3 linked regions of the Kluyveromyces lactis genome follow. The protein of the gene in region 3 purifies or fractionates together with the protein of the main gene of each other region. This does not show direct contact. Links are inferred from orthologs where the notes say so. Each region holds a gene or a part of one and is shown on either strand. Other genes may lie near its edges.

Region 1 (3,760 bases), on a different chromosome or scaffold from region 3:
GATCAAAGCAAGGCTGAAATGGATAGTTTGATGGTTAAAGAGTTCAACGCCAAACTATCTAAACTTATTGAAACTGATTTCAAGAAAGGTCACGAATTGCGCGCTAAGGTTCAAGATGCAAGATTGAACTTTGATACTTTACGTCATGAAATTAAATTGAAGCTGCAGGAAAAAGAGGTTGTAGCATCCTCTGAGGAAGCTGAAAAAAAGGTCGCAACTGAAACCCCTGAAACCCCCGAAAAGAAAACCAATGAGGAACCAGTTGATATGGCAAAGACAGAAGAAGATCCTGATTCTAAGCTTTTCGAACGATTAGAAGATCAGTTCGTGTCTGCAACCTCAGAAACTGTGGAATTCTTGGGAGAACTTACAGATAGTTCTGAGATCATTTCTTTGGTTAAGTTGTTCCATAATTTCCAATTGATCCATTACAAGCAATGTGTCAAGAGCTTAGAAGAAGATCTAGAAGTCCTTAACTCACTAGATTCTGAAGACAAATGAAGAAATCCACCTCTATATATCGTTAAAATAAAATAATTATTCATAATCAATCGTAAATATCTCATATGTAAATGCCCAATATACCTATTTTCCCATGCCTATTTGAACTCGCTATTCAATTTTGCATTAAACCGTTTATTCTTGTCATTAATAAATCCATCATCCAAATTGATCTTATTTTGTTTATCTAGTTTTTGTTTCCGTACCATATACCTTTTCTTTGATCGTTCGTTCAAATCATTCACCATTTTTTCTACTAGTTCAGGATTATCTTCTACTTGAACCTTCCCATCCTCAGTTATTCCACCTTTCAACGGATGTGATATATCCTTCGGAAGCGCATCTACTTCCTTCTTGTAGCTGTTCTTTGCTATAGTTTGGAAGTCCCCCATCACGCTTTTATTATGTCTTGAATTCTGTGTCTTAGCTTCCCATTTTTCATATTCGCGTATTGAGTAGTTTGCCAATTTTATCGGATCTTCTGGTTCGCTTTTGTTACTTCTAGCTTTATCTTCGCCATCGTCAGCCATACTGTATACTCTTCTTTCAGAGTTTTTCTTCTCTTCAGCTATTATGGCCTTCTTATTCCTTATACTTACTTCCACTTTTTGTTTCCGCAAACTCTTCAACTTTTTTTCAATTTCCATTAGATCATTCATCTTCGAATATTTATTATCAGCCTGTGTCCAGTTTACAATGTGATTTGTGGCATTCAAATAAGGGCTACACTTTCTGTCACCTGGAAGATATCTGAGTATATTCATCGCATCTCATCTTGTTTCTGTTTGCATTTCGACACTATATATTACCCGGACTGACTCCCAAAAGTAAAGTTTGAAAAATTTGAAGTACTCAGAAGAAGAGATGAGATGCGATGAGATGCGATGAGCTGTAAGTGCAAAGATACACTCAACCGCTGCTCTTGAAAGGACGAGGTGAAGTATCAAATATCCTGTGTTCAATACAGTTTGCTTTGATATTATTTATCGAAAGATATTGAGAAAATGGCATCCATCTCACAGCCTTTTAGGCTCTCTGCTCTACCTAAGATTCCATCATTGAATAATTATGCGAATCAAACAGACTACTTACAAGTTGTTGATAATCTTTCACCATCAGCCAATAAAGTGAATATTGGTATATCAGGTTCCAGTATATCACAATACTTGATTAATCCAACCCCGAAGCTGGTTTTTAACTTGCCAATCCCCTCTACGAACATTGTTACTGCATGTGACGTGGTAGAAGATGCAGCCAATACAGAAGTCTGGTGTTACGGATTGGAAGCTAGAAAGGTATCACATTTACACTTGGCTACTAAGCCGATGATTCAAGATGCCGTGTCATCTTCAAATGCTGAAATCACATCTCAGTTCAAATATAAACTAAAATCTGAAGTCGTTAGCATTAAGATCTATTCTAAAGCAGAGAAAGTTCTCGTTATCTTAAGGAATGGACTGATTCAAACATTTGATTATGAATTGAAACTTTCAAATACTATTGATATATCTTATGATGATATCAGATTTGTTCAATTCTTCCAAGATGGGCAGGGAAACGATTTCTTTTTCGTGTTATGCCAACTAAGTGATGAGAAAATCTGTTACAAACTTTTCCAAGTTAGGAGTGAGTCCGTCTCATGTATTGAACTAAATTCTATCATACTAGAAAATTACACTTTAGAGAATGCAAAGTTGTGTTTTGAGTTCGGGAAATTATATGTTTTAAAGAACTCAAATGAATTATCAATCTATCAGTTACCACATTTGCAACTACAAACTAGCATTCAGCTACCTTTCATTTCCAAGGATGCAGTTGTATCCATCAAACCAGTTTCTTCAAACCGTGTATTGTTGACTGCTGATAATACCATATATCTTGTGGATTTGTTATACAATGCTATACTATTCCAAAAGGATTTACAGAACATCAAAGCTATTCAACTACTCTCTACTGCAGTTGTTCAAGAAAACTCTGAAGACAATAGAAAAACTATAGCATTAGATGTTACAACTAAAAACGGTGCTAACCCTACGAGTTACTTGGATGTTATTAACATTGATGTTGGTACCGGTACCTTAAAAGATGCGATGGGTAAAGGGTTCATGGTTAAACAAAAGCAGAAACTACAGAAACTCTTTGAAGAAAGCAATGAGGACGACGATGTGGAATTGCCATCTCCAGACTATGAACGCATTATAAAACAACTCCATATCTGTAAAAAAATAGAGAACTTTGATTCTATATTTTTTAAGATGCTTTCCTTAGACAAGGAATATTATACAGACAATGACAGATTTTTAAATGATTCTGATTTACTCACTCAAATAATCGATTGCTTGTTTCTAAATTTCAAGGATGAATATCCAAAAGCATTGACATACCTTCTAACACACCCTTTATTCCCACCGGTTCACGCTAAGGGCTTATTAACCAAGTTGAAAAATAACCCAAGACTTTTCAAACAAGCTATTGTTACTTGTCCGAATGTTCCACTTGACGATTTGTTAACCGAGCTTTTCAATATAACGAATGCAGAGCTCTGTTTTGATATTACGCTAAGAGTGCTACAAGATTACAAGAAAGAATCAATCAAAGCAGGTATAAGAAAAATTGAGAAGATGGATATCACAAACTTTTTGGATATGATTTTGAACTCGAATAAGGCAGATTCGGACTTGAAACTTAATAAGCCACAAATCTTCCAACTTATGAGTTTAATAATAGATTCCATCGGTTTGTTTGCGTTAGACGATGAATATTTAGAGAAACTTTCCTCTTTTGTCGATGCGCAGGTTTCTGTAGTGTCACAAAACATAGAACTTTTGCATTTGGCAGAGCATTACACCAAGCATTCATCGGTTGTTAACAATAAATCTAATTCATCAACAAATTCGTCTTCTACACAACCTATTTCAGCTTACACAGTGGACTATTTAGAATGCTAATAAGTGTGTAGTATAATCATAAACATTAGAACTTTTCGTAAAATGATTTCATCAGCTTTCCATATTGAACTGGAACTGAATTACCTCTTTTGGATCCATGAAAGAGTATGTTTCACAATCCTCATCACTTTCATAAATCACATGCTCCTCGTACGTAACTCTGTTATCTTTGTCGACAAGTATGACAATCTGGGATCTAGTTCCATAGTAATCGCCTATTGGCAATGAAGTTCCAATAGCGTCTGCACCTTTAGTAATTCTTAAAGGCGGTACATAAATACTGGAAGTCGTCACAGAATCCACATCTTCGC
Region 2 (3,760 bases), on a different chromosome or scaffold from region 3:
CCATCCATTTCGACTTACGGAGATTTGGCATATGCAGCTTTTGGTCCAAAAGGTCGTGCATTGATCTCGTTCCTATTTGCTATGGATTTATTAGCATGTGGTGTAGCCTTGATCATTTTGTTCGGTGATTCATTGAACGCGTTGTTCCCAGAATATTCGGTCAACTTCTTCAAATTCGTCGCTTTTTTTGCAGTTACTCCTCCAATATTTTTGCCATTAAGTGTTTTATCAAATATCTCTTTGTTGGGTATTATCTCGACTATTGGAACTGCATTGTTAGTAGTTTTCTGTGGGTTGCTAAAACAATATTCACCAGGGTCATTATTGCAACCAGAAGCCACATCGATGTGGCCCAATTCATTCAAGGAGTTTTGTCTTTCCTTAGGGTTATTGAGTGCATGCTGGGGAGGTCACGCAGTCTTTCCCAACTTAAAGAGTGATATGAGGCATCCGGAGAAGTTTACTCGTTGTTTGAAGACCACTTATAGCATCACCATTGTTACTGATATCGGAATTGCTGTCGTTGGATTTTTAATGTTCGGTAATCTTGTTATGAATGAAGTGACAAGAAGTGTGTTATTGACTCCAGGATACCCGCCTTTTGTTTATGGCCTAATTTCAACTCTTCTTTCACTGATTCCACTTGCCAAAACACCACTTAATGCAAGACCGATTGTCTCCATCTTTGATTCAATGTTTAACGTAGTGCACATCGATGAAACTAAACCAGCATCGAAGGTTTTTTTCGCAAAGGCAACCAGAATATTTAACAGAATCATGGTGAATGTTATGTTCGTGATTATTGCTATTTTATTCCCTGAATTTGACAAAATAATTGCATTCTTGGGTGCTGCACTTTGTTTCATGATTTGTTTCATTCTGCCATGTTTGTTCTACAAAAGAATTTGCTACAAAACCATTAAATCTTGGGAATTGATAGCGTGTAATATTACGATATTAATTAGTGCAGTATTATCCACTCTTGGAGTATACGCCTCCTTCACCTCATGAATTACCTACAAATGCTGTTGAATTTGCCAGCACCTCATTCTTGTATATGCATCTACGTGTCTTTATGCAAAATTTTAGCACCCAAACTAAGGGAATCACACTTCATATAATGACTTTTCACCCATATGTACTTCTGTCTAGTATTCATCACCCAACCAATGCCTCACAACTGTGTCTATTATCTCTCTTCTTACCCGCATTGGCGACAGTTCCCATCATTTTTTTCTTTTTCAAATTTTTGGATACCTGAAAAATTGATGAAAACTCATCTCATCGCATCACTCAGCATGTACGAAATATGCGTCTATAGTAGCAGCTTGATCGTATCGATACATCCACTACAGCTACACCAGTAAATAGGTAACGTTTCACTGACCCACACATAACACAACATGAGTCAGTTTTTGGAAATTTTGAAAACTAATCCTGTTGGACTTCTTTCCCAGGATGCTCTGGAGTCCAAGGAACCACTATCGGCAGTGAAGACTTACTTTGACGAAGTCATCAATCTGAATAAAAACAATGGAAATTCAAAGACAACATTAGATGAGATAGTGGTTGATGGGCTAGATGCTAACCAGGTATGGTGGCAGTCAAAAATCATTTTAGATAATGTTCAAGGTGATATCATGGAAAAAATCGCCGAACTGAAGGTTGATAATGAGAATGATATGAGCGAGGAAAGCAGCGGAGACGAAGATGATGCCTCTAATGTTGAAAATTCCAATGAAATGTCTGCAGACGAAGCTCCAGTTTCTGAAGAGTCTGCTATTGAAGAGGAGGAGGAAGAAGCAGAAAATGAAGAGCTCGTTTTAGATGAAGAACAACAGTTCTCAGAACCAGAACCTTTAGAATTACATGAGAAGGAAGAAGATAAATTGGAAAACGAAAGTGATTCGGAACCTGATGATCAATTTGTAGAAGCACAAGAAAGTCCACAAGCGATCGAAGACAAGTTTGGTGTAAACGATCAATTTTTCAATCTAGATGAATTCAATAGACAAACACTTGAGGCTGAGAATAGAAGCCAAGATGCAGATGAAGAAGATGAGGATGACGAAGAAGTTGATTATTTCGCAGATGTTCCATCGGAGGAAGATGAAGAAGCTCTATATTACGACGATTTCTTTGATAAGCCATCTAATAAAAAATCTTCCCAGGACAGGCGGCCAGGACCTTCAAAGAAAGCAGAGGCCGAAGAGGATGAATCCTTTGACGAAAGCGAGTATGATGATGCAATGGAGGAAGCTAAGTTAGATCTTTTTGCTGACGAAGACGATGATTTTCAGGGATCAGATGAAGAAACTGCTGAACAACCATTATCTACCTTTGAACGTCAACAACTTGAGCTAAAAAGACAAATAGAATCCCTCGAAAAGGAAGCTGTTGCTGAGAAGAAATGGGCGTTAAAAGGTGAAGTAAAAGCTCGCGATAGGCCAGAAGATGCCTTGTTAACGGAAGATCTTGAGTTCGAAAGAACTGCCAAACCTGTGCCAGTTATAACAGCTGAGGTAACAGAAACTCTCGAGAATATGATCCGTAGAAGGATCAAGGAAGAAGATTTTAACGATCTACAGAGGAGGGTTATCAGCGATATTTCAGGCTACAATAATAAACCAAGATTCGAACTAAGTGATGTAAAGTCATCAAAATCACTAGCTGAAATTTATGAAGATGATTTCAAAGGTGTTACCGAGGATACTGAAATATCAGAAGAATTACAGAAAAGTCACGATGAAATTTCAGAGCTATATAAAGATTTGGTTTACAAACTAGATGCATTATCGTCAGCCCACTTCATACCTAAGCCGATAAAGAAAGATCTTGAAGTAAGAGTGCAAACCGCCGCTATTTCTATGGAAGATGCACAACCACTAACAATGTCAAGTGGTTCCACATTAGCTCCTCAGGAAATCTACAAAGTTGGTAAATCAGAGAACTCTAATGAAATAACTTTGAAGAATGGTGTGGTGATGTCCAGAGATGAACTGTCCAGAGAGGATAAAAACAGACTCCGTAGAGCTGCTAAGAGAAAGAGATCGAAGCTATCTGCGAAAAGAGCCGAACAACCTAGAAAGAAGAGTAAGACGGATGATGTTCTTAATACCTTGACTAAATCCAAGAACATAACCGTTATCGATAAAAAGGGTGCCAAAACTGATGTTAAGGGTAATATAAAGAAGGATAATGCATCTGGTAACATCAATTTCAAGTTATAGACACTGTTACAGTAAGTATATATTACTATAATTAATGCAATTGCATTGAAATGAAGGTGGTAAATAAGAGAATTCTTAATTATCTTTTTATCCCCCAAACTATTTATGTTCTTGAGATTTATGGAATAATGATCTTACACCTTTTACAACAGAAGGACTGTAATGCTTGACAAGAAGGCTATTTTCCCATATAGTTGCTGCTTCTGCATTACTTCTACTTGGTAAGTCTGTGTCGATGCGGAACTCCCCATTTCCAATTCTATCGTCTGTAGAGTATAAACCCAGTACTTCTGGATATTTGGTAGTTAGTTTATCCAAAAACTTCAGCAGTGCAATTGATGTTTTTTCTGGAGTGTGCAGCAAAGCCATGTAAATTCTCTTTGTGAACGCAGCAGCTCTTTGTTTAGTGCCAGATTTTGATCTGAAAAAGACATGATCAAGGGCTTTCAACAATAACTCTGCTTTTGTTGATACGTTAACTGATGGTTTGACGAGTTCATTATTCAAGGGGTCGGCCAACCTTAGCGATT
Region 3 (2,909 bases):
ATATCTAGATCACCTTTAACCGGAGACCTTATGGTCACGTGATATTCATCCTATATTGCAATAAATGATACCACCTCACAAGAGAAAACACAGAGCGATGCACTTAGAAGCACGGGCTCTCCAAGATAGCTGTCCTGTTGTTACAGATGGTTACACCCTACTAAACCCCCGATTTTGAAGTGACACGGCTGTTCAATCGCCGGTAATTCCTTGTGTCAGTTTTCCAGACGTCAAATTGAACTGAATTTAGATCCCAGCCACAAACGTTTTAATAGAGAACACGACATAAGACGTTCTCCAACCGTTCAAGGTCGAGATCTGAATCTAGATATTTAGAGAGAACGTCAGCTTCTACTGTACAGAGCTAAATCATATGAAGAGCTTATTGAATAAGCGGTTTTCGCCTAAACGTCGAAATAAACCAATCACTTACGCACCAGCTTCAGCAGCGAAACCTAAACCCAAACCCAAACCTAAACCCAAACAACTGGACCCACCAATGCAATCCGGTGAGAGCAGTAGCCAGAAAAGCAGCACTCCCATACCAATCAAGTCTATATTAAGACCTGTTGATGGCACGCACGAACATGAGAATAAATCTGTCCGCATTGTGGAATCTTCACCACATCCGGAGTCTGTTCCAATCAGCACACCAACTAGGATAATAGTAGGACCATTACCTGATGGAAATGTTAGTGACTCTTTGGTATATAATGCCAGCGATTTAGAAAAGGGTCATATCGGCGTCGCGGAGGAATCGTCACCGCTACTAGAATCACAGTTGCCTGATTTGACAACATACCAAACAATTTCCCCAGAGTCCAACCCCACTGCACAGATACATTGCTGGTCAACACCCTCGTTGCCAATTCCAATACCACCACCATCAAGCGATCAGCCATGTTCAGGCGACCCCGTGCAGTCACCCTCAATTCCCCCATCCAGGGAATCACCATTTACCAGTCCGTTAAGTCGGTTCTTGCAAATGCTATACGCAAGATATCCTGTCATCATAACTTATATCCTAATCACCATCTGTGTCATTGGGATAATATATTCTTTAGTAACAGGAACTGGTAGATCATATCTCTTGGTTATTATAAAGGCATGTATATGCTGGATAATGGGTACAGACGTGGCAAGAATGCTTTTTGGTACCCAGTTCTGTGATATTGAGTTTAAAGTGTCATGATGTTTCAGTACTGCAAGCTACACATTAAATACCATTAGCATAGCAATAAAGTTGATATAAATTGATATAATCTAACCAACAAATAGCACCAGAACCAGCCAATACACAGCACAGTCCGTTAACGGGTGATGAGCATTCTACTCGTAGTCCAGTGTCAGGAACAAAATCTTCAGCACGTGACCTCTATTTACGTATCATTTCTTTTCGAAGTGAAAAATTTGGACAAAGCGATGAGATGAGATGAGATGAACCACTGGAACTAGTCCATGAAGCAGGTCGTGTTACCGTTCTGTCAGTGTTTCTGTTCAATTGTGCATTGGATTAGACAAGTGGCAAGAGTTTACTGAGAAATATAACAATGGGTTTGAAGAAAGTTCTAGGTTCTGGTGCTGCACTGGTAGCGAAGAGACACTTGAAGTTCGATGATGATGCGGATGATTCATTCCATACAGCTGATGAGGGCAACTCTACCCTAGATGCTCTCAAACCAACAAAAGCAGAAGCGAATGGTGAAAGTGAAAGTGAGAGTGAGAGTGATAGCGATGCGCCAGAAGAAGAAGGCTTGAGTAGTGGGAAAGATGCTATAGAGAAAAGGATTCAGGAAAGAGAAGAGGCTGCAAGGTTACAAGAAGAGGCAGCTAGAGAGAAGAGACGAAAGAACGAGAAAGTGTTCAAGCAACAGCAGCTAGAGAAGAAGAAGAAGCTGCTCGAGTCTGAGGAGGAGAAACAGAGAGAAAAGATGTTAGAGTTTGAACGACAATTAGTAGCGCAGCAGGGTTCGGATAATGATGAGCCGGAAGAGTTACCACAAGAGTTCTTTGATGAGCTAGAAAGTGGATCTGCATCTTCCTTCGCAAAGGCTACGCCGAAACATATTACTTTCTCGGCAGAAGCGCAAAGAGAAGAAGAACAGGCCCTAAAAGAAGAATTACGGAAACAAAAGAAGAGATCACTAAGGGAATTGAGAAAGACCCAAATACAGAAAGGACCTGTCACTGTGAACTTGCTATCGTCGATGAAGGTATCTAAGACACTGGCTCCAAAAAAGGAAACCAGTGTCATGAAATCAAAGGATAAATGGTTGAAAAGAAGAAGTCTCAAACGTAAATAGAAGAGGATTTGTGCCCACATGTACCTATCTATTCAAATATACAGGTCTTTATACATGTGATTTGTCTCGTGTATAATGTATTATCTAAAAGAGGAGTTTCCTGATTGGCTTTAGCTATCATGAGGAGCGAAGAAAGAGATCATTAACGGGATAAAGATACCCAAGAGTAACAATCTGACATCTGGAAGTGATTCTTGTTCTATTTTCTCTTCAGTGGTAACACCTTCGCCCATCTCTAAAACAGAACCCGACACTGGGATCGGGCCATCATTCTGTAACTGTTGTTCCTGGTCCTTACTTGGTGAGATCAACGCAAGCAATGAAGCATACAATAAACTACTACCGCTCAGAACCAATAGCCCATCGCTCATTTTCTCGATTAGGTCCTTGCTGACGAATCTCATCAGGATCACGAATAGCAACCCGAACGGTGTGGATATACTGAATGCAATAAGATTAGAGATTACTTGTAGTTTGGGTAATCTCTGTTTCGAAATCATAATCCCCGTCAAGGAAAGCGTCGCAGGAATTTTATGTATAATAATGGCGATCAACATCACGAATTTCAACGAATCGTAGGATTCGGCAATCCCCAACGCCAGTCCA

What was found.
Region 1: the proteins of BUD21 (region 3) and UTP8 purify together in Saccharomyces cerevisiae (affinity purification with mass spectrometry; 3 studies listed by BioGRID). This does not show direct contact. The link is inferred for Kluyveromyces lactis from reciprocal best matches to the Saccharomyces cerevisiae genes BUD21 and UTP8.
Region 2: the proteins of BUD21 (region 3) and MPP10 purify together in Saccharomyces cerevisiae (affinity purification with mass spectrometry, with the first as the bait; 4 studies listed by BioGRID). This does not show direct contact. The link is inferred for Kluyveromyces lactis from reciprocal best matches to the Saccharomyces cerevisiae genes BUD21 and MPP10.

Annotation. Positions count from the first base shown.
Region 1 is NC_006041.1:412,678-416,437, forward strand, and holds UTP8 (Utp8p), read left to right. Parts: upstream 1-1,505; coding exon 1,506-3,449; downstream 3,450-3,760. Other genes in the region: KLLA0_E04621g (uncharacterized protein), read left to right, coding at 1-501; SYF2 (Syf2p), read right to left, coding at 600-1,265; KLLA0_E04687g (uncharacterized protein), read right to left, coding at 3,501-3,760. UniProt on the Saccharomyces cerevisiae protein: Involved in nucleolar processing of pre-18S ribosomal RNA. Also has a role in nuclear tRNA export. It acts between the steps of tRNA maturation/aminoacylation and its subsequent translocation out of the nucleus.
Region 2 is NC_006040.1:821,769-825,528, reverse strand, and holds MPP10 (rRNA-processing protein MPP10), read left to right. Parts: upstream 1-1,403; coding exon 1,404-3,230; downstream 3,231-3,760. Other genes in the region: AVT1 (Avt1p), read left to right, coding at 1-1,011; NOC3 (Noc3p), read right to left, coding at 3,330-3,760. UniProt on the Saccharomyces cerevisiae protein: Involved in nucleolar processing of pre-18S ribosomal RNA. Required for the early cleavages at sites A0, A1 and A2 during 18S ribosomal pre-RNA processing.
Region 3 is NC_006037.1:682,506-685,414, reverse strand, and holds BUD21 (Bud21p), read left to right. Parts: upstream 1-1,550; coding exon 1,551-2,303; downstream 2,304-2,909. Other genes in the region: KLLA0_A07645g (uncharacterized protein), read left to right, coding at 374-1,192; Mn(2+) transporter ATX2, read right to left, coding at 2,414-2,909. UniProt on the Saccharomyces cerevisiae protein: Functions as part of the small subunit (SSU) processome, first precursor of the small eukaryotic ribosomal subunit that coordinates the first two steps of ribosome biogenesis in transcription of the primary transcript pre-RNA and pre-18S processing.